4 linked regions of the Saccharomyces cerevisiae S288C genome follow. Changing the gene in region 1 together with any one later gene gives a genetic interaction. Each region holds a gene or a part of one and is shown in the gene's direction. Other genes may lie near its edges.

What was found.
Region 2: of MRS3 (region 1) and ATM1, extra expression of one is lethal in a mutant of the other (dosage lethality), as found in Saccharomyces cerevisiae (one study listed by BioGRID).
Region 3: mutations in MRS3 (region 1) and DRE2 are lethal when combined (synthetic lethality), as found in Saccharomyces cerevisiae (one study listed by BioGRID).
Region 4: of MRS3 (region 1) and MRS2, extra expression of one rescues a mutant of the other (dosage rescue), as found in Saccharomyces cerevisiae (2 studies listed by BioGRID).

The regions. Positions count from the first base shown.
Region 1 is NC_001142.9:157,873-163,361, forward strand, and holds MRS3 (Fe(2+) transporter), read left to right. Parts: upstream 1-2,746; coding exon 2,747-3,691; downstream 3,692-5,489. Other genes in the region: sphinganine kinase LCB3, read left to right, coding at 316-1,545; DPI8 (Dpi8p), read right to left, coding at 1,751-1,975; YJL132W (uncharacterized protein), read left to right, coding at 4,042-5,489. UniProt on the Saccharomyces cerevisiae protein: MRS3 suppresses a mitochondrial splice defect in the first intron of the COB gene. It may act as a carrier, exerting its suppressor activity via modulation of solute concentrations in the mitochondrion (possibly of cations).
Region 2 is NC_001145.3:866,005-872,875, reverse strand, and holds ATM1 (ATP-binding cassette Fe/S cluster precursor transporter ATM1), read left to right. Parts: upstream 1-3,248; coding exon 3,249-5,321; downstream 5,322-6,871. Other genes in the region: YME2 (Yme2p), read left to right, coding at 251-2,803; ADE4 (amidophosphoribosyltransferase), read left to right, coding at 5,785-6,871. UniProt on the Saccharomyces cerevisiae protein: Performs an essential function in the generation of cytoplasmic iron-sulfur proteins by mediating the ATP-dependent export of Fe/S cluster precursors synthesized by NFS1 and other mitochondrial proteins. Hydrolyzes ATP.
Region 3 is NC_001143.9:573,531-579,246, reverse strand, and holds DRE2 (electron carrier DRE2), read left to right. Parts: upstream 1-3,266; coding exon 3,267-4,313; downstream 4,314-5,716. Other genes in the region: AIM29 (Aim29p), read right to left, coding at 1-38; YKR073C (uncharacterized protein), read left to right, coding at 740-1,060; phosphopantothenoylcysteine decarboxylase complex subunit SIS2, read left to right, coding at 1,124-2,812; YKR070W (uncharacterized protein), read right to left, coding at 4,615-5,673. UniProt on the Saccharomyces cerevisiae protein: Component of the cytosolic iron-sulfur (Fe-S) protein assembly (CIA) machinery required for the maturation of extramitochondrial Fe-S proteins.
Region 4 is NC_001147.6:942,700-948,915, forward strand, and holds MRS2 (Mrs2p), read left to right. Parts: upstream 1-1,896; coding exon 1,897-3,309; downstream 3,310-6,216. Other genes in the region: DNA-directed DNA polymerase gamma MIP1, read right to left, coding at 1-686; VMA4 (H(+)-transporting V1 sector ATPase subunit E), read left to right, coding at 957-1,658; ALA1 (alanine--tRNA ligase), read right to left, coding at 3,534-6,216. UniProt on the Saccharomyces cerevisiae protein: High-conductance magnesium-selective channel that mediates the influx of magnesium into the mitochondrial matrix.

The DNA.
Region 1 (5,489 bases):
ATGTATGTTCAACCAGCTATTGTTGGAACCAAATATGTGCAAAATATCGCCAGATATTCATTTCACGAATAACAAGGCAAAAATGTTGCAAAAAATGTTTCTTAGTACCAAATTGAACTACTGCCTTTATCATGTGACTGAACTACGCTTGGCTGTTTTGTTTTTCCCTCACCTTGCGCTAAAGTTGTCGTCACATTATAAGGGCAGTAAGAAAAAGCAGAGTTTAAGAAAGTTTGTTTACATACAACCATCACGTAGAGGAAATTCTTCAAACCTACCAGACCAGCGGACACAAGCCATTTGTATAGATAAAAAATGGTAGATGGACTGAATACCTCGAACATTAGGAAAAGAGCCAGGACTCTCTCTAACCCCAATGACTTTCAAGAGCCTAATTACTTGCTGGATCCCGGTAATCATCCCTCAGATCATTTTCGAACTCGAATGTCCAAATTTCGGTTTAATATTAGAGAGAAGCTGTTAGTGTTTACCAACAATCAATCATTCACATTAAGCCGCTGGCAAAAGAAGTACCGTTCTGCGTTTAATGATCTCTACTTTACTTATACTTCCTTAATGGGATCGCATACCTTCTATGTTCTGTGTTTACCTATGCCCGTGTGGTTTGGATATTTTGAAACAACAAAAGATATGGTTTATATCTTGGGATATTCTATCTACTTGAGTGGTTTTTTTAAAGATTACTGGTGCTTGCCCAGGCCTAGAGCACCTCCATTACATCGAATTACGTTAAGTGAATATACAACGAAGGAATATGGTGCTCCAAGCTCCCATACAGCAAATGCAACAGGAGTGAGTCTCTTGTTTCTCTACAACATCTGGAGGATGCAAGAATCTTCTGTCATGGTCCAACTATTGTTGTCATGTGTGGTTTTATTTTATTATATGACTTTGGTTTTCGGTAGAATATACTGTGGGATGCATGGCATATTAGATTTAGTAAGCGGTGGGCTCATTGGAATAGTGTGTTTCATTGTTAGGATGTATTTCAAGTACAGGTTTCCGGGTTTACGCATTGAGGAGCATTGGTGGTTTCCTTTGTTTAGTGTGGGATGGGGTCTTCTTCTTTTGTTTAAACATGTTAAGCCCGTAGACGAATGTCCTTGCTTCCAAGATAGTGTTGCGTTCATGGGCGTTGTGTCAGGTATTGAATGCTGTGATTGGTTGGGCAAAGTGTTTGGAGTCACCCTGGTGTACAATTTGGAACCTAACTGTGGCTGGCGGTTAACCTTAGCCAGGCTGCTGGTGGGCCTACCGTGCGTTGTTATCTGGAAGTACGTGATCAGCAAACCGATGATCTACACGTTATTGATCAAAGTTTTCCATCTGAAGGATGACAGAAACGTTGCGGCAAGAAAAAGACTGGAGGCCACGCACAAAGAAGGTGCAAGCAAGTACGAATGTCCATTATATATTGGAGAGCCCAAGATTGACATTCTAGGTAGATTTATTATCTATGCTGGCGTTCCATTCACCGTTGTAATGTGCAGCCCCGTCCTATTTTCCCTCTTAAATATAGCATAAAACAAAAGGAACAAAAAAAAAAAAATAGACAAAATGTAGTGTAAATGTATCCGTTTCTAAATTAAGTACTTATAAAAAAATATGTAACTGAAAAAGTCATGTTGTATAAAAATTTGAGGCACCGTACCAGGACCCCAAAAGAAGAATAGGTTAAAGTCATCATCATTAATAAACCAGGAAAGAAAAGAGCATAATTAAGATACGCCTACAACTTTGGCGCGTGAGCCAAGTGTCTTCTGGTAGCTAGTGAGGCACTCAAGGGACCATATGTCTTGGCATTTTCTCTATATTCCTTAAAAGAGTTGAACGAGTTGCCCGGAGATCTCTTGAAAATAGTGCTGGCCATGGCGCTAGCGGCTATCCTTGAGACACCCGCGGAGGCGGCTGAAGAAGAGACGGCGGCGGCTAATCTGGTACTTTGGGCGATCATTTAATACGTTTATTTACTGTCTTATGAATGTAATATTTAAACTTGTGCGTAATCATTAAAACAAAGGTGAAAAATCACATTAAACATCTCCCTACATTACTTTCGGTTTATTCTTTTATATGTGTGAAACTTTCTCTCTGCACCAGGAAGTGGTCATGCTTGATGCTCGGCTCCCACCGGAAAAACTAACTTGCGGGCGGGAAATTGATCCCTGAAGTCATGCCCCTCACCTTCATTCGTGGATCTTATCTCCAGAGCAACCAAATGTGGAAATGGCATGACACCCCCCCACACACGTTCCGCCCACTTTTTTTCAAATGTGTGACACACCCATACCCCATAATGTTGCACGTGACAGGTTTGTATCACGTGCTTCTTAGGGTTTTGTTTTAGGTCTGAGACATTTTAGGGTTTTTTTTCATCAAGTCTAGATCGTTTGTAACGAACGATTGCTCCTTTTTTCTTTTTTTTTTGCTTTTTTTTTATACTCACCGTTTACTGTCATTATGTCTCTCGAGAAACTGGGCGTGTGTGCTAACCAAGACTGGATCACCTTTACATAGCACTTATTGCATTTCTTGGTGTTTCGTACCCTACAATTGACAAAAGTAATTTTGTCGTTCATTTCTTCATCGATTCTTTCCTCTTTCAACAACTTCCTTATTTTATCTTGGGATCGTAACTTCACTTAATTAATCACGATTCCCATATTCGTTAACACCTCTTAAGGTTTGCTGTAAATATATTTATGTTATAAAAAAAGAAGATATTATGGTAGAAAACTCGTCGAGTAATAATTCAACAAGGCCAATTCCAGCAATACCTATGGATCTACCCGATTATGAGGCGCTCCCCACCCACGCGCCATTGTACCATCAACTTATAGCGGGTGCATTTGCTGGTATAATGGAACATTCAGTGATGTTCCCGATAGATGCCCTTAAGACGCGAATACAATCAGCCAACGCGAAATCGCTGTCTGCCAAGAATATGCTTTCGCAAATATCTCACATCTCTACTTCCGAAGGAACTCTAGCCCTATGGAAGGGTGTTCAGTCTGTCATACTAGGTGCGGGACCTGCGCATGCAGTGTATTTTGGTACGTATGAGTTCTGCAAAAAAAATCTTATCGATTCGAGTGATACGCAAACGCACCATCCTTTTAAGACAGCTATCAGTGGTGCCTGTGCCACCACGGCATCTGACGCATTAATGAACCCATTCGACACAATAAAACAGAGAATCCAACTCAATACCTCGGCATCAGTATGGCAAACCACAAAGCAGATTTACCAATCTGAAGGTTTGGCAGCATTTTATTATTCTTACCCAACCACCCTAGTAATGAACATCCCATTTGCAGCATTTAATTTCGTCATATATGAATCATCCACAAAATTTTTAAACCCATCAAATGAGTACAACCCCCTCATACATTGTCTGTGTGGCAGTATCAGCGGATCGACATGTGCGGCGATCACAACACCTTTAGACTGCATAAAGACAGTACTGCAGATAAGGGGCAGTCAAACAGTTTCGTTGGAAATTATGAGAAAGGCGGATACTTTTAGTAAAGCAGCCAGTGCCATATATCAAGTTTATGGCTGGAAAGGGTTTTGGAGAGGTTGGAAACCAAGGATAGTGGCAAACATGCCGGCTACTGCTATATCATGGACAGCTTATGAATGTGCAAAACATTTCCTAATGACGTATTAGTTGGTTCTTACATGTCATATTATTTTCCATTCATTTTGCATCTCAGAAGATTATGTGTATATTATCATTTTCCTGTTGTGACTTTATGTACATTTATATATACAAATTTAATTTGATAATCCCAAAGCTTGAGCTCTTTCCCTCAACGAAAAGTTTTCATTTTTTCTTCATTACTTTATATATCTATGTTTAGTATACCCAAAGGGTATTTCGGACGCAGGCAAGCTGCCATTATTTATAGCGGAAACTCTAAGAGTGGTAAATCTATTTCTAAAAAAAAAAAAGATTCATTCAAGCGCCCTCCTTGGTTAGTTAGTTAGAAACATGTATTCAGAGGGAATTAAATAAAGATGAGTATAATTAGTTCTTGGTTACTTGTCTCTATTATTTGCTTAACTACTTCTATTGTAACAAAATTGCAAGCTGCTGGAGTTACTACCCATCTATTTTATTTAACAAGAGGTGCTCCCTTAAGTTTAAAGGAAAACTATTATCCTTGGTTGAAAGCTGGTTCTTTCTTTCCGGATGCTTTGTACTCATGTGCACCTTCAAATAAGGATTGGTCTGATTTTGCAGAATTCACTCATTGGCCCAATTTCTTAATGATTGCAGTATCTTATTGGCAGCAAAAGTATGGTCAGAACGATCGACTTCGGGGAACTCACGGCTCACTCGCACTAAAGTCATTTTTAATAGGGGTATTCACTCATCAGATAGTTGATGTTTCCTGGCATTCGTTAGTTACCGATTATAGAATGCACGGACTACTCCGAGTTCTCAGCGAAACAGAATTTGATGGAGATATTGAAACTGCTCATACGTTTTTAGACGTTATGGGTGAATTCCTCACCTTAAATAATGTAATCCGTGACAGTAATAATAACGAAAATTGGGATTTTTTAACTCGCTCTGATTGGAAATTGCCCAGAGAAGAGGATTTAATGGAAATTATAAGGAACGCTGGACTTTCAAAGGAAAAGTTGTCCTACGCAGAACTGGAATTTTGCGTTAAAAGAGGAATGGCAGCGGCTATTAGTGAAGGGTACCTATTCCGCTCTCAAAGAAACCAATTGTTAACTAATATTTACTCAACATCCCCCAGGGCTAATGATCTAATACTGAATCATTGGCTAGGAGGGCAGTCCAATTTGGTTGCAATGCTCCAAAGATGCGTGCCTTTCTTCGAGACTTTGTTTCATGACGAGAATACTAATGAAGCTCAAGCAGAAGAACTGAGATTATGTGCTAATTTACCGCCAGTATCACAAAAACGGATAAATGCACGACCTTTGGTCTCTTCATTAAAAGCACGTAAGGGAAATAGCCACATTGTCGTATCTCCCATGAAATCATTTTCCGATTTTGGCACAAGCCTGACTATGGGAAAATTTCGAGAAGACAACAAGGATTATCTCGCTGTAAGTGCACCACTTGAAGACACAGTTGGTGCAATCTATATAGTTCCATGGGATATTCTAACTGTAGCAAGAAAAGAGGATTTTAGCATTTTACAACCCATCACTGCCATGTACGGTTCAAAGGTCGGGACATACAAGGCAAGTGATGTTGACTACCTACTCGTTTCACAGCCTGGTACCTGTACAATCGACTTTTACTTCAAAGGAGTAAAAATACTGACAATCAAGGATGAGACCACCGAAGAAGCACATCAGTTACAATTTGCTGTAACAGGTAATTTTTATGATGATAAGATTCCTGATTTGGTGGTGTCAAGCCCAAGTTATGGTGCCAACGAAACTGGAATTGCAACATTTATCCCAGGATCTTCCATAATAAG
Region 2 (6,871 bases), on another chromosome or scaffold:
TCACTTTTCGTCTTGACGTCCACCCTATAATTTCAATTATTGAACCCTCACAAATGATGCACTGCAATGTACACACCCTCATATAGTTTCTCAGGGCTTGATCAGGGTTCCGTAGATGGGAATTTGAGAAGTATAAGGGAGATAACGGTAATGTTATATTGAGAAAATGAAAGATGAACTCAGTATTGACAGGATCTAAAACCAAAATATAGCGGGCCTATACAGGAAGTAGTATTTGTAAAAGTAAACCATGTTGCTAGTACGAACGACTTCCCTGAATGTGTCAAGGATGCCAGTGCCATGCCTCGCCAGAGGAATAGGCATCCTCAAGGGCAAATATAGACTAGCGAACCTGATGAATGCCCAACCCTCAGTGAGACATGTGTCGAGCGAGATCCAGCAAAAGGATCAGCAGGCAGGAGAGTCAAACACCGCCACCGATACTGGTGTTATTCACAAATCAGATGAAGAAACTCTGATATATTTCGATAATGTTTACGCTAGAACCACCTCGGTTTGGAATCCAACACTGTGGTACAATCTCCTGCTAAGAAACCAGTCACGGGATGCAGTGAGGGAGAAAATAAGGAATTTAGCCAGTCCACCCAATAACCCCATTTATGGACTGGAGTTGAAGTCTACCATTCCAGTGAAAAGGGATGGTGGTGTATTTGCCACATTTGTCGTTCCACCCAAGTATACAAAAGCTCAGGTAAATTCTCTAATCCAACAGAATACAGCCAGAGAATCCTCTAAAAACTTACTCTCGTACTTCACTCGAGCTTCTGCCTTCCCAGTAAAGGGTTCGCCTTGGATTGAGGATTTAAGAAGACTACCAAGTACCACTATAGTCATCAAGTTCCAAGGGCCCGCCTTAACAGAAGAAGAAATATACTCTTTATTCAGAAGATATGGGACAATTATTGATATTTTCCCTCCCACTGCTGCTAACAACAATGTGGCAAAGGTAAGATACCGTTCATTCCGTGGTGCCATTTCTGCCAAGAATTGTGTTTCCGGTATCGAAATTCATAATACCGTCTTACACATACAATACGAAAATATCAGAAGAGGCCATCTAGTTAGTAATTTTTTCACCAACCATACAAGGATTGCTATTCCAGTTTTATTTGCGCTACTTTCAATCTTTGCTGTTTTAGTGTTTGATCCTATAAGAGAATTTTCGATTGAACAGAAGATCACTCACAAATATTCTTTATCGTGGGACAATAAGTTTTGGAAACAACTGAAAACGCTAACCTCATCTACCATGACTTCTATCAAGTACTACTGGGGCGGCCCTGATGATAATCACCAAAGAAAGCATTTATGGGAGGAAAGAATAGAGAAAGTGAATGACCTGAAAATGTGGCTTGAAGAAAATAATAATACTTTTGTGGTTATAAGGGGGCCTAGAGGTTCAGGGAAACATGATTTGGTCATGCAACACACTTTGCAAAATAGAGCAAATGTTTTGTATTTGGATTGTGATAAATTGATTAAGTCCAGAACAGATCCTATGTTTTTAAAAAATGCCGCTAGTCAATTGGGTTATTTCCCAATATTCCCATGGATTGACTCTGTCACAGGTGTCCTTGATTTAACAGTGCAAGGATTAACAGGGCAAAAAACTGGGTTGTCTGAGACGAAGGAATCTCGGTTTAGAAACATGTTAACTACCTCATTGATGTCCATTAGACGTATTGCTCTCAAGAATTACAAGGCTTTTGTTTCCACCGGTGATGGGACAGTTAATGTTAAGGAAGAAGATTACCTACAGCAACATCCGGAAGCTAAACCCGTTATCGTCATAGATAGGTTTGAGGGCAAGTCGGAAATAAATGGATTTGTGTATAAGGAACTATCCGATTGGGCAGCTATGCTAGTTCAAATGAATATTGCTCATGTGATTTTCTTAACGGAAACCGTTGCATCCAACCAAAGATTGAGCGAATCACTACCCAATCAAGTCTTCAAAAACCTAATCCTATCAGATGCCTCAAAAGAGAATTCGAGGAACTATGTATTATCCCAATTGGAGGATTACTTATATTACAATAAAAAATCCAAGGGTGAAAACGTAAAAGAACCTGAATCAGAAAAGGAAACTGCTGAAAATAATGATTCTGATAGTGAGGCCGATACGAGTGTCAAAAAAGCTGAGGTTATTTTAAATGAAAAGGAATTACAGGAAATTGACGCTTCTTTAGAGCCATTGGGTGGTAGGATGTTAGACTTACAGGCATTTGTAAGAAGGGTAAAGTCAGGAGAAGAGCCCTCGGAAGCAGTAGACAAAATGATTGAACAGGCTTCTGAGCAAATAACTCAAATGTTTTTAAGTGACAAGATTGACAGCAATAAAAGTGCACAAGCCTGGGAATTAATCGAATTATTGAGTGCGAACCCAGTCATTCCATTCCATGAAATCGTTAACAAGCCATTATTCAAAGCCGCACCAGAAACGGGAATCATGGAATTGGAGAATAATGGTTTAATAACTGTATCTAGAGATAGGGGTGTTTTACAGGAAATCAGGCCTGCCAAACCGCTATACAGGGCAGCATTCACATACTTGATCAACGATCCTGAACTCGCAAAAGTGCTAAAAACCCGTTACTTATTAAAGGTTGTGGGTTTTGAAACTGGTAGAATCAAGAAATGGGAAGAAGAATTAAAACCTTTGGGGAAAGTTCCTGATCAGAAACTTTTCAAGACCAGATTGGACTATTTATCCGGTAAAATCAATGCCAGTAATGCAGTCATTACCAAATGTGAAGAAGAAATTAAAAACCTATCTAAGTGATGAAACAAAACTTACTATTCTGCTTTTCTGTACATATGTGTAAACCCTATATTGCTATACTCATCTATATTCTTTTGAAAATGTATAAAAGTGACGATTGGAGATGGTGCAATTTTCTACGCAGCATGAAAAATATCTAAGGAAGGTAAGGTACATACCAAGTAAGTCTTATAATATGTTGTTGTACCTCACTTTACCATTCTTAAAGTCTTTAAAAGAAATTACCTTACCCAATTTGCACAGCAAAGGTCACTGACCTATACGTGCCCTTCATCAGATTACATCACGTGAAATTTCACTGGGAAAGAGCGCGAGGGCTTTCCGATGACTTTCTACATTAATAATCGCAAACAAAGCAATCAGCACAGCAAAGAGTACAATTTCGAAAATTGCGACAGAGCAACGTAAGTATATCGTTGTTGATAGATTCCACTCCAACCTGCAAATGCTGCTTCTTCCAAGATGTCCTGTAATTGGGCGAATTGTAAGATCAAAATTTAGATCTGGTCTAATCCGGAACCATTCGCCCGTTATATTTACTGTGTCTAAGTTATCAACCCAGCGGCCTCTGTTATTCAATTCAGCTGTGAATTTATGGAATCAAGCACAAAAGGATATTACGCACAAAAAATCCGTCGAGCAATTCTCGTCGGCTCCAAAAGTGAAGACTCAGGTAAAAAAGACCAGCAAGGCCCCAACCCTCTCGGAACTGAAAATCTTGAAAGATCTATTTCGCTATATTTGGCCCAAAGGCAACAATAAAGTGAGGATAAGGGTACTGATTGCCCTTGGACTGTTGATATCCGCCAAAATTTTAAATGTTCAAGTACCTTTTTTTTTCAAGCAAACTATTGATTCAATGAATATAGCATGGGATGATCCTACAGTCGCCCTTCCGGCAGCGATTGGATTAACCATTCTTTGCTATGGTGTTGCAAGGTTCGGCTCTGTTTTATTCGGCGAACTGAGGAACGCCGTATTTGCCAAAGTGGCACAGAATGCCATTAGAACTGTGTCGCTACAAACTTTCCAGCACCTTATGAAGTTAGATTTGGGATGGCACTTGAGTAGACAAACGGGTGGTCTGACGAGGGCCATGGATAGAGGTACAAAGGGTATATCTCAAGTGTTAACGGCCATGGTATTCCACATTATCCCTATAAGTTTTGAAATATCTGTCGTTTGTGGGATTTTGACGTATCAATTCGGTGCGTCATTTGCCGCAATAACATTCAGTACAATGCTTTTATACTCCATTTTCACTATAAAGACGACCGCATGGAGGACACATTTTAGAAGGGATGCTAACAAGGCCGATAACAAAGCTGCCAGTGTGGCTTTAGATTCTTTAATTAATTTTGAGGCGGTAAAATACTTCAACAATGAAAAATATCTTGCAGATAAGTATAATGGCTCCTTGATGAACTATCGTGACTCTCAAATTAAAGTATCGCAATCTCTAGCATTTTTGAACTCCGGCCAAAATCTAATTTTTACTACTGCCCTAACTGCAATGATGTATATGGGTTGCACCGGCGTTATTGGTGGCAACTTGACAGTTGGTGACTTGGTTCTAATTAATCAGTTGGTTTTTCAACTATCAGTACCGCTAAATTTTCTTGGTAGTGTTTACAGAGATTTAAAGCAGTCTCTGATTGATATGGAAACGCTATTTAAGTTAAGAAAAAATGAAGTCAAGATTAAAAATGCCGAACGTCCCTTAATGCTTCCAGAAAATGTTCCCTACGATATTACTTTTGAGAACGTCACGTTTGGATATCATCCCGATAGGAAAATTTTAAAGAATGCCAGCTTTACCATCCCAGCAGGCTGGAAAACCGCAATAGTTGGGTCTTCGGGCAGTGGGAAGTCCACCATTTTAAAATTAGTCTTTAGATTTTATGATCCTGAAAGCGGAAGGATCCTCATAAACGGTAGAGATATTAAAGAATATGACATCGATGCCTTGAGGAAGGTGATTGGTGTGGTACCACAGGACACACCACTTTTCAATGACACTATCTGGGAAAATGTAAAGTTCGGTCGTATTGACGCAACCGACGAGGAAGTGATAACTGTAGTTGAAAAAGCCCAGCTAGCACCCTTAATCAAGAAATTACCACAAGGTTTTGACACCATCGTCGGGGAGCGAGGGTTGATGATCAGCGGTGGTGAAAAGCAAAGGCTGGCAATTGCAAGGGTACTATTGAAGAATGCAAGGATCATGTTTTTTGACGAGGCCACAAGCGCCTTGGACACACACACAGAACAAGCTCTCTTACGAACCATTAGAGATAACTTTACTTCGGGTTCGAGAACGAGTGTATACATCGCACATAGACTGAGGACAATTGCAGATGCAGACAAGATCATAGTCCTTGACAACGGAAGAGTAAGAGAGGAAGGTAAGCATCTTGAACTGTTGGCTATGCCAGGGTCATTGTACCGCGAACTTTGGACCATACAAGAAGATCTGGATCATTTAGAGAATGAACTAAAAGACCAGCAAGAACTATGAACGCTCGTAAGTAAATATTGATTTATACATGTATAAGTTTTTCAAGATTTAAGGAAAAAAGAAAAGTTATTATCTTTCTCCGCGGTTTTTCAATGACCCGATGTATTGACTCTTCCTGACCGAAAATAACAGGACAGAGTTAGAACGAACATGAATAATAAAATATAATCTGGGATCATGAATCCGAATGACTGCTCATGCGGCAAATGTCAGAGCTTCGGTGTATTTAAAGTTTGCTTACTTACAATTTCAATAATAGGTTTGTACTTTTCAGATTCTTATTATTAAGTCAAGGTAAAGTCCTTCGTTTTTTTTTTTTTCATTTTAGAAAAATTTCAACAGCCACCGTACAATTTTATTCACTTTTAAGTCATAGTTGCGAAGACATCGTCTTGAAAGTAGTAGATTTCGTTCTAATAAGTTTAGCAAAGAAAGAGGTACAGCAAACAGCAGAATAGAAAAAATGTGTGGTATTTTAGGTATTGTATTAGCAAACCAAACCACTCCAGTAGCTCCGGAGTTATGTGATGGATGCATTTTTCTACAACATCGTGGACAAGATGCAGCTGGTATAGCTACCTGTGGTTCTCGTGGTAGAATCTACCAATGTAAAGGTAATGGTATGGCTCGTGACGTATTTACCCAACAACGTGTTTCCGGTCTTGCTGGTTCCATGGGTATTGCCCACTTGAGATATCCTACAGCCGGGTCTTCGGCTAATTCAGAAGCGCAACCATTTTACGTCAATAGTCCTTACGGTATTAACTTGGCACATAACGGTAACTTGGTGAATACTGCATCATTGAAGAGATATATGGATGAAGACGTTCATAGACATATTAACACGGACAGTGATTCGGAGTTACTATTGAATATTTTTGCTGCTGAACTGGAAAAACATAACAAGTACAGAGTTAACAATGAAGATGTTTTCCACGCGTTAGAAGGTGTTTACCGTTTATGCCGTGGCGGTTATGCTTGCGTTGGTTTACTTGCCGGTTTTGCATTATTTGGTTTCAGAGATCCAAATGGTATTAGGCCATTATTGTTCGGTGAAAGAGAAAATCCGGACGGCACTAAGGACTATATGTTAGCTTCAGAAAGTGTTGTTTTCAAAGCTCACAACTTTACTAAATATCGTGACTTAAAGCCTGGCGAGGCAGTTATCATCCCTAAGAACTGTAGCAAAGGTGAACCTGAGTTCAAACAAGTGGTTCCTATTAACTCTTATAGACCTGATTTATTTGAATACGTATATTTCGCCAGACCGGACAGTGTCTTGGATGGAATATCAGTTTATCACACAAGATTGGCTATGGGTTCTAAATTAGCGGAAAATATTCTAAAGCAACTGAAGCCAGAAGATATTGATGTTGTTATTCCCGTCCCAGATACTGCAAGAACATGTGCACTAGAATGTGCTAATGTGTTAGGGAAGCCTTATAGAGAGGGCTTTGTTAAAAACAGATACGTGGGCAGGACATTTATCATGCCAAACCAGAGGGAAAGGGTTTCTTCAGTAAGGAGGAAGCTTAACCCTATGGAGTCTG
Region 3 (5,716 bases), on another chromosome or scaffold:
AAGGTTGTTGACATTTTCAGCCTTTTAGTTGAATTCATGAAATAATGCAACCAAACAAGAAAAAATTTGGGGGAGGTAGTCTACGCATTTCAGTTCTAACTTCCTTCCTTTTCTTTCACTATTAATTGAAACTTATTTTCATTTTTTTTCTTTAGCATTGAACGCCGAATCTAAAAAAGTAAAGAACTCCTCATAGGGGGCTCGAACCCCTGACATTTCGGTATCCTTGCTTAAGCAAATGCGCTTAAAAGCCGAACGCTCTACCAACTGAGCTAACAAGGATGAGTTCTTCGGAGGGCTAACTCATATAAATAACTAATAAAGGCGAAATAGTGGTCACCACCATCACACTACACCCATATCAACGACAAGAGTTTAATTTGACCGTGGAAATTTATTACTGCTGATTTGGGTTCTATGATAAATCCTCGTAACGTAGAGACTATGTTTTTATATGCGCATTAAGTGCCGGAAAACGTGAGAAATAGGCTTTCCGGAGCATCAAACCTGAGGTTTCATAAATTGTGTTCGTGAAGGATGCATTCCAGAGGGCCATCCATCCAGCATAAAAAGAGATCTACAAAGCAATTATGTGGTTTCGCCATTATCCGTAGGATGACCTAAAAAATGGTAATGATTCACGTGATCTAGAAACTTTAACGTGTTATATCATTCAAGGCGTAACTTATACGCGCGGGGTACCCTATCATATCTAACACACGTACCCTGGGTTAATGCCATGATCGTCTTTGATGTATCTCTAATGATCATTATTATTTTTTCTTTTGCTTTTAACATGAGTCAAAGCAATATTCTTATGTTATATAACTCACCCCATGTGCTCGTGGGCAGTGACGCACGCAACTTTTTCTCTTGCAAAAAATGGCATCGATGCTTTTCTGGGGAGGTGATATTAGAGGAGAAGAAGTCACAGAGTGCTCTTGGATCACGATCCCTCACTTGTACTTGTCCACTTATCAGCGCCGTCCAGTTACATTTGGAGAGATCTTTTTTTAGCCTGGCCTTCTTTGCTGTCATACTACTTTATATTCCGGGATAAAATATAAAGAAATATTAGTTAGGAAAAAATTAATAGGGAAGAAAGATCTAGAAGCAAACAGCAATGACTGCCGTCGCCTCTACTAGCGGGAAGCAAGATGCTGACCATAACCAGTCTATAGAGTGTCCAAGGTTTTCGCGTGGACAGAAAGAGATTTTGTTGGACCATGAGGATGCGAAGGGGAAGGATTCAATAATCAACTCCCCCGTGTCAGGGAGGCAATCAATAAGCCCTACTTTGTCGAATGCTACTACCACGACTACGAAATCTATTATGAATGCCACCGGCACCTCCGGCGCAGTAGTAAGTAATACTCCGGAGCCTGGTTTGAAGAGAGTCCCCGCCGTCACTTTCAGTGATCTAAAGCAACAGCAAAAGCAGGATAGTCTGACTCAGCTGAAGAACGACTCAGAAAGGACCAAGTCTCCAAATAGTAATCCTGCTCCTGTCTCAAATTCCATTCCTGGCAATCATGCAGTTATACCGAACCACACCAACACTTCAAGAACAACGCAATTATCTGGGTCTCCACTCGTCAACGAAATGAAAGATTATGATCCTAAGAAAAAAGACAGTGCTCTTAAAATAGTTGATACCATGAAGCCTGACAAAATCATGGCCACTTCAACGCCAATAAGTAGAGAAAATAATAAGGTAACCGCCAAAGCCCCCACCAGTATTACACTTCGAAAGGAAGATGCACAAGATCAAGCTAACAATGTTTCAGGCCAAATTAATGTGCGTTCTACCCCGGAAGAAACGCCAGTGAAGCAGTCCGTCATTCCTTCCATCATCCCCAAAAGAGAGAACTCCAAGAATTTGGATCCCAGACTACCTCAAGATGATGGAAAATTGCACGTGTTGTTTGGCGCTACAGGTTCGTTATCGGTATTTAAGATCAAGCCAATGATTAAAAAACTAGAAGAAATATATGGACGTGATAGAATAAGCATTCAAGTTATCCTCACTCAATCAGCAACACAGTTTTTCGAACAAAGATATACCAAGAAAATTATCAAATCTTCAGAAAAACTAAATAAAATGTCGCAGTACGAATCCACTCCGGCAACTCCAGTGACACCAACACCAGGACAATGCAACATGGCTCAAGTAGTCGAGTTACCCCCACATATTCAACTATGGACCGACCAAGATGAATGGGACGCATGGAAACAACGAACTGATCCTGTACTTCATATAGAACTACGTCGCTGGGCGGATATACTGGTAGTAGCTCCATTAACTGCAAACACATTATCAAAAATTGCTTTGGGCCTGTGCGACAATCTTCTGACAAGTGTCATTAGAGCTTGGAATCCGAGTTATCCCATTCTTTTGGCACCTTCTATGGTGAGTAGCACTTTTAATTCTATGATGACAAAGAAGCAACTACAAACGATAAAGGAGGAAATGTCCTGGGTCACTGTTTTCAAGCCGTCTGAGAAAGTTATGGATATAAATGGTGATATTGGTCTCGGGGGTATGATGGACTGGAATGAGATTGTTAACAAAATCGTTATGAAATTGGGTGGGTACCCAAAAAATAACGAGGAAGAGGACGATGATGAGGATGAGGAAGAAGACGACGACGAAGAAGAAGATACAGAAGATAAGAACGAAAACAACAACGATGATGATGACGATGACGACGATGACGACGACGACGACGACGACGACGACGACGACGACGACGATGATGACGAGGACGAGGACGAAGCAGAAACCCCAGGTATAATAGATAAGCATCAATAAATAGTCTATGAATTACAAATACACTAAACACATTCTACTTATTTGTGTTTTGTAATTTCTGGAAAAATACTCATTAGGCAAATTCACGCAGCATATTTACAAAATGTCACAAATTTTTTTCCTTTTTTACTTGCAGTAGGTATGTAATGCCATACTAGCGTACATAGAGCTCTTCATATAAACCGCTATTTATTACTAATTTTAATAATTCAGTAATTCATTAAATACATTCATTACTTTCTGGGTAAATATCTATTCGTTTCTCATTTTTCTTTTTTTGACATATCCCGGTACCGGAATAAGTCCGATACTATTCAAAAGCTTCTGGAAAAAAAAAATAAAAAAAAGAAATGATTAGTAATCATTTAATTTCATGACATATTAAAAAGGTATTCTAAGCAGAAGTCTTTCATCACATTTGATCTAAGCATATACACTGTAAGTGAAGGTATCGATGTCACAATACAAAACTGGTTTACTTTTAATACATCCGGCGGTGACTACAACGCCAGAGCTAGTAGAGAACACTAAGGCTCAAGCTGCATCAAAGAAAGTCAAGTTCGTGGACCAGTTTTTAATCAATAAACTAAATGATGGGTCCATAACTTTGGAAAACGCAAAATATGAAACAGTACACTATTTGACGCCAGAAGCCCAGACTGATATTAAGTTTCCGAAAAAGTTAATTTCTGTCTTAGCTGACTCATTGAAACCAAACGGCTCACTAATTGGTTTAAGTGATATTTATAAAGTAGATGCATTAATCAATGGGTTTGAAATAATTAACGAACCAGATTATTGCTGGATTAAAATGGATTCCTCTAAACTAAACCAAACTGTTTCTATACCACTGAAAAAAAAGAAAACGAACAATACTAAGCTACAGAGTGGTAGTAAGCTACCAACTTTTAAAAAAGCTAGTTCTTCAACCTCTAATTTACCCTCATTCAAAAAAGCAGATCACAGTAGGCAACCTATAGTTAAGGAAACAGACAGCTTCAAACCACCTAGTTTCAAAATGACCACTGAACCAAAAGTCTACCGAGTCGTAGACGACCTGATTGAGGATAGCGATGATGATGATTTCTCTAGTGACTCTTCCAAAGCCCAATATTTTGATCAAGTGGATACCAGCGATGATTCCATTGAAGAAGAAGAATTAATCGACGAGGATGGTTCTGGTAAGTCAATGATTACTATGATTACATGCGGTAAATCCAAAACTAAGAAGAAGAAGGCTTGTAAAGATTGCACCTGTGGTATGAAAGAACAGGAAGAAAATGAAATAAACGATATAAGATCTCAACAAGATAAAGTTGTCAAATTTACAGAAGACGAGTTGACCGAGATTGATTTCACTATCGATGGGAAGAAAGTTGGCGGCTGTGGTTCTTGTTCTCTAGGGGATGCCTTTAGATGTAGTGGTTGTCCCTACTTGGGTCTTCCTGCTTTCAAGCCTGGTCAACCTATCAATTTGGACAGCATTTCAGATGACTTGTAAACCCTGCACATTCGTTTCAGTAAATGACGTCAATTGGTCTACTTTGGTGAAGGTGAATTTTTTTAGATGCATTGATCGATTGACTTTGGTAGGTTACTAATTTTACCAAAAAGAGTTGGTAGTTTTTATTTTTTTAAATAGAAGAAAACAGGTACTCATTATACCGTGATTACCAATTTCCCAACCCATTATTTAACCCGTTATGTATATTGCATATATTTTGTAAAAGCGTTTAAGCTATTAATAAATCTATCATAACAGTACAGCTCAAAGGCAGGAAAAGATATTCCATAGTAGTCTTTCATGCGTACTTTTCTAACGTTTTAGTAACCGCATCAAATACATCATTCACGATCAAGGTAGGCTTACATTCCTTTAAGTCATCACCTTCGTTATACACACCTGTCTTCACCAAACAACTGTTCCAACCGTAATTTTGAGCTCCAATGATGTCACTTGCAGGATTATCACCTACCATAAAAACCGCATGGAATGGAGAAGTTGAAGGTTTCGTGCCTAAGAGTGGCAGTTTTTGCTTCACAGATTGGCCTATTTTCCCGCTTAGTCTTTTTTCCCAATCAATGAGAACATGATGAGCGAAATCATAAGTCAACTTTGTAGGCTTACCCAAAGTATAATCTTGCAAGGGTTCACCATTTAACTCGAGATAAAGCCTTCTAACTAGTAAGCGGAAGGCACCTTGTCCAAATCTATTCAATTTATAAGGATTGGCCCACAGTAAATCCTGGTTCGAAAAGTAAATGGGGATGGAAGGTTTGCCACTCTTTTCGTTTCTCAAGGTATTTAACATCCCATTTTCGCTGTTGATTGCATCTGAGATGATTTGTATATCGGCAGCCCAATCATGAGGATCGTTAAATACCAAGACGGCATCGAATTTCTTAGTGGTTAAATCTGGAATATCCCTTGAGTACTCCATCACTTGTTCATCAGATAGCCCACTAAATGGTGCAATGTCCCTATTGTATCTTACAATATCCGTTTGGTGAACAACATCTTGAAATCCGTAGCCTTCTGCAACGCCTCTCACGGAAGGTGTACCAACGGCCAAGATCCTTGAATATTTGTTAACAAGGGACTTGTAAGGAGTATGACTTTGAATAATTTGCAAGGGTGATACATCAACGTCCAATTTACTCGAGATAAACTCTGTCCGTGCCCTTTCAGAGAACCCTCCACCATTAGTGAGTAAAATATATGGAATTTTATTTCGGTTCAACAGCTTCAATGCGTCGCTGGCACCAGCAATTGGCTTTTTGCCCCTGAACAACACACCATCAATATCGAATGCAAAAGCAATCTTTTTACTTGTTGTTTGGAAAAACCGTTTGCCAATCATTCTCGCTGCTCTTTTGGCTTGCCAATATTTTGACGACTTGGTT
Region 4 (6,216 bases), on another chromosome or scaffold:
TACGCAACATTGTGACCAATTATTACTTGCTCTTTATTCAATGTGTTTAGGGGTATCAGTGCAGCAGGATCATCACCACCACATATGAACGGCGAACACCAAAGGTACCACGCCGTCGATGACAAGGCCGTGGCCAAAGTCGGATAGTCAGAGACGTTATAGAGTGTTTCTACATCAAACACCACCAGCTCTTCGTCTGGGTATGCCACTTCGACGGGTGCCATTCCAGGTACGTATTTAACCCAGCCTGGCTTCCGCAGCCATTCCGCCGGTCGTGCCACCATCTCCGTGAACTTGTCCTCGCAAAAACTCTTGTACGGTTCAGAATTGAAACGCCCAATCTTCTGGAAATGCTCATCTAGCGACCTGCCTTGTAGTGGCGGCAGAGGAAACGATATTGGATCCGTGATGAGCGTCTTCTTCCCCCACAACCCATGGTCCTTTAGCGACTTTTTCGATAACTCCATAAGTTTGTCGCTTTGCTCCACCTCATCTTTACCACCGCAACTACCAAATACCTGTCTTTGCAAAGACTCACCTAAATACTGTATCCCCACAGGATTAATCCTGGGTGCTTCTGCGGTATTCTTCTTTGTGGAGAACCATCGAGCACAAAACTGCACACGCAGCGGCCGCCGCCGCACCATTCGCAGCATGCATTCAGATCTAACCATCAATTTCGTCATACTTGTCCCTCGTTGCTCAACAACTACATATAATCCCCATCTCGACCTCTTCTTTAGAACCGTTCTTTCGTAGTCCATACCTATTGTTGTTTACTGAGTATCGGCTAAAAGTGCGCCCGAGGTCACCCGCCACGGAGAGGGGCGAAAGCGGCCATTTCGATAAGAACTCACGCTATATATCAGCAAAGAACAATAGCAGTTGCAAGAAAAGTTGTTTGTAACTGTTTTACAAAAGAGGCACAGAACAGGCCACGCACCATCCGATACAGCATGTCCTCCGCTATTACTGCTTTGACACCAAACCAAGTGAACGATGAATTGAACAAGATGCAAGCTTTCATCAGAAAGGAAGCTGAAGAAAAAGCGAAGGAAATCCAATTGAAGGCTGACCAAGAGTACGAAATCGAGAAGACCAACATCGTAAGAAATGAAACCAACAACATTGACGGCAACTTCAAGAGCAAGTTGAAGAAGGCCATGCTTTCGCAACAGATTACTAAGTCAACGATAGCAAACAAAATGAGGTTGAAGGTTCTTTCTGCTCGTGAACAGTCGCTAGACGGGATATTCGAGGAAACCAAGGAAAAGTTGTCAGGAATTGCCAACAACCGGGACGAGTACAAGCCCATTTTGCAATCATTGATCGTGGAGGCACTTTTGAAGTTGTTGGAACCTAAGGCGATTGTCAAGGCTCTTGAAAGAGACGTCGATTTAATCGAGTCGATGAAGGACGACATTATGCGTGAGTATGGGGAAAAGGCCCAGCGCGCACCATTGGAAGAGATTGTTATCTCCAATGATTACTTGAACAAAGACCTTGTTTCCGGCGGTGTTGTGGTCTCCAATGCATCAGACAAGATTGAAATTAACAACACTTTGGAGGAAAGATTGAAATTGTTAAGTGAAGAGGCATTGCCCGCCATCAGATTGGAATTGTATGGTCCTTCCAAGACAAGAAAGTTCTTTGATTGATCGACCAGCAGCTTGTATACCTACATACTTACATATACACTCCTAACAGATTTTTTTTTGTATGTTGTTCTTTCCTCTGTGGTGGTCCAGTCTTTTGTCTCTTTTTTTTTTTCTTCTTTTTTTTTTTTTTTTTTTTTTTTGCAGCATTATGATAGAACAATAGGGCTCAAGATCGCACCAAGGCTAACAGTAACGGTATACGCAATCGTAGTGAAAGTGATTTTCAATCAAGCATCTCATGAATCGGCGTCTCCTGGTACGTTCTATATCTTGTTTCCAACCTTTGTCGAGAATAACTTTTGGAAGACCAAACACGCCATTTCTTAGAAAGTATGCTGACACATCCACTGCTGCAAACACCAACAGCACCATATTGCGGAAACAGTTACTATCGTTGAAGCCCATTTCTGCCTCTGATTCACTGTTCATTTCGTGTACGGTATTCAATTCTAAGGGAAATATTATCTCAATGTCCGAGAAGTTTCCTAAATGGTCCTTTTTAACTGAACATTCCCTTTTCCCCAGAGACCTGAGGAAAATAGATAACTCCTCTATTGATATTATTCCAACCATCATGTGTAAGCCAAACTGTATTGTCATCAACTTATTGCATATCAAAGCTCTTATCGAACGAGATAAGGTCTACGTCTTCGATACAACAAACCCTTCCGCCGCTGCCAAACTGAGTGTACTTATGTATGACTTGGAGTCTAAGTTGTCCTCCACCAAGAATAACTCTCAATTTTACGAGCATAGAGCCCTCGAGAGTATTTTCATCAACGTAATGAGCGCACTGGAAACAGATTTCAAGCTTCACTCACAAATCTGTATTCAAATCTTAAATGATCTGGAAAACGAGGTCAATAGACTTAAACTGCGGCATCTTTTAATTAAGTCCAAAGATCTTACGCTTTTTTACCAAAAAACTTTATTGATTAGAGATCTATTAGATGAACTATTAGAAAACGACGATGATTTAGCAAACATGTACTTGACAGTTAAGAAGTCTCCTAAGGACAATTTTTCGGACTTGGAAATGCTTATAGAGACGTACTACACCCAATGTGATGAATACGTTCAGCAATCAGAATCTTTGATTCAGGATATCAAATCTACTGAAGAAATTGTCAACATCATATTGGACGCAAATAGAAATTCCTTAATGTTGTTGGAGTTGAAAGTTACCATCTACACGTTGGGATTCACAGTAGCATCTGTTCTGCCGGCATTCTATGGTATGAATTTAAAGAATTTCATCGAGGAGAGTGAATGGGGGTTTACTTCAGTGGCGGTATTTTCTATTGTTTCTGCCCTTTATATCACCAAGAAAAATTTTAATTCTTTAAGATCCGTGACAAAGATGACCATGTATCCAAACTCACCCGCAAACTCCAGTGTGTATCCTAAAACATCAGCGTCTATTGCCCTGACAAATAAACTAAAGCGAAGGCGGAAGTGGTGGAAATCAACCAAGCAGCGGTTGGGAGTGCTACTTTATGGCAGCAGCTACACTAATAAGGCTAACCTGTCGAATAATAAGATTAATAAAGGTTTTTCAAAGGTGAAGAAATTTAACATGGAGAATGATATTAAGAACAAGCAGAACAGAGATATGATTTGGAAATGGTTGATAGAAGACAAGAAAAATTGAAAGGCGATTATCATGATAAACTATACAATATTATTAGCATAAACCTGTATATATACATATGTAAGAAAAAAGGGTATTTAAAACTCTTTTTAACAGCAAATCTTTTGTCCTTGTAAAAACATAAATAATTAAACTAAGACTAATTATACAATGACACTTTTTTATTAAGAGCAAAATAAACAAAAAGAACTCCTATGCATTATTTTTCGTTTTATTTTAACTTCTTAAATGGAAAGCTTCTCCTTGAACAAACTTTCCAAATCATCAACTGCATCCTTTATAGCGGCTGGTTTATCACCCATACCTTGGAAAACATTACCTTTACCACCAGCCTTACCGCCGATGATACTGGACACCTTTTTGGCAAGCGCAGAACCATCAATACCCTTGGCTAAAGCAGCATTGGAGATGTAACAACCGTGAGCAACACGACCTTCAGGGTCATTACCTGCCAATAAATAGATTGACTTGTCTTTGACAGAATCATTGGATTTCATGTAGTTGATCGCTTCAGTGATAGCTTTAGCATTTGGAGAAATATCAATGAATTTAACTAGGTATGGAGCATTCTCATTGGTTTCGAAAAATGTCTTCACTTCATCAAGAGTTTGTTTGTTTTCTTTTTTGGCCCTTGACTTAACTTCATCCTTCACTGCTTTTTCAATTTTGTTAAATTTCTGCTTCAGTTCATTTTTTGTGATAACAGAAATTGAAAGTTGACCAAGTTTGACACCAAGTTCCTTCAACTTCTTTTCTTTGATTGGAGAGAACGGCAGCTTGTCTGCAGCATCCAAATCAGCAGCAAACTGTTCAGCCAATCTTTGAGCTTCAAAGGCTTCAGTTCCAGTAACAGCAACAATTCTTCTGATACCCTTTGCAATACCGCTCTCTTCTAAAATGACGAAGTATTTAATATCGCCTGTCTTGTTGACATGGGTACCACCGCAAAATTCAATAGAATACTTGGTCCACTCTTCGTTAGCTGGGTTGGCCAACAATTCTTCGATTGGCTTACCAACAGAAACTACACGAACTGGATCTGGGTAAGTCTCACCAAAGACAGCACGAACACCATCAATGGATTTGGCCAAGTCCAATGGAATTTCCTTGTAAAACACTTGTAAGTTTTCTTTAATTTGCTCATTACAGATATCTTCAACTTTTTTCAATTCTTCATTTGACACAGCCTTTTTATGAGAGAAATCGAATCTCAATTTTTCTGGGGCAACCAAAGAACCCTTTTGATCGACATCATTACCCAAAGTTTCCTTCAGAGCAAAGTTTAAGATATGTGTACCAGTATGATTGTTCTTAATAGGGAAACGACGTAGTTCATCGAATGAAGCGATAATCTTGTCACCGACAGACAACTTACCTTCTTCTAAAGACCCGGTGTGGAAAACAAAACCGTTATACAATTGAACATTTTCAACATTAAACTCAGCAGCGTCATCAATAACAATTTTACCAGTGTCATATTCTTGACCACCTTGTTCGGCGTAGAAACATGTTTTATCCAAAATAATACCGTACTTCTTACCTGGTTCAGTGATCTCATCAACAAAGTTGGTACCGTCATGCAGTTTCAAAATGGTACCTTCGACGTTGGCGCTGCCGTATTTGAATTCATCATTAGTCTTGGGCACCTTAGCATCGTTCAACTCGGATAATTCATGGACGTTTAACTTAATCAAATCACTTTGGTCCTTCTTACCACCTCTTTTGGATGCTTCGTATGACTCTTGTTTGGCCTTTTCGAAACCGGGTCCATCAATCTTCAAGCCTTGTTCTTCAGCCATCAATTCAGTCAAGTCGACTGGGAAACCATAAGTGTCGTAAAGTCTCCAAACTTGTTTACCGTCTAAAGTCTTAGATTCAGTCTTAGAAGCAGCAGAAGCATATTTTTCAAATAGTCTTTCACCACGATCCAAGGTCTTAGCGAAAGAAGCTTCTTCTTCATCCAAGATTTCAAAGAGGAATGCAGGATCCTTGGCTAATTCGGGAAAGATATCTTGAACCTGAGAAATTAAAGTTGGAGCCAAAGTGGAGAAAAAGTTACCGATTGGGTAATTCATGTATTTACGGGCGTAACGGGCACCTCTTCTTAGAATGCGTCTCAAAACATATCCTCTACCTTCATTGTTTGGAACGCCACCGTCAGCTAAGGCAAAAGTCAATGTACGGACATGATCAGCTAAAACTCTGTAGGCAGTATCGATACCGTCCTTGTCATTCTCACCAAAATTGCCAGAATATGGTCTAACTGAAGTGATTTCTTGGATACGCTCGAACAAAGGTGTGAAAACATCGGTATCATAGTTAGATCTAACATCTTGCAGAACAGAAACCAATCTTTCGAACCCCATACCTGTGTCGATATGCTTGGCAGGTAAAGGCTTCAAAGACCCGTCTTGTTCTCTGTTGAATTGAATGAAAACCAAATTCCAAACTTCCAAGACATCAGGGTCGTCCATATTAACCAAGGAAGCAGCATTTCTACCACCTATTCTATCGTAGTGAATTTCAGAACAAGGACCACATGGGCCTTGGTCACCCATTTCCCAAAAGTTGTCCTTTGCATTACCAGGTAATATATGGTCATCGGGAACACCAACATTTTTCCATAGTTCACGGGCTTCAGTATCAGGTTCCAAGCCTAACTTTTCATCACCTTCAAAATAGGTAACGTATAATCTATCCTTTGGAATGCCGTATACTTCAGTCAACAAAGTCCATGAGTAAGTAATAGCTTCCTTCTTGAAATAGTCGCCAAACGACCAGTTACCCAGCATTTCAAAAAAGGTATGATGATAAGAATCCTTACCGACATCTTCTAAATCGTTGTGTTTACCACCAGCTCTGATACACTTTTGAGAGTTGTAAGCCCTTTTCAAGGTGTAGAAATCG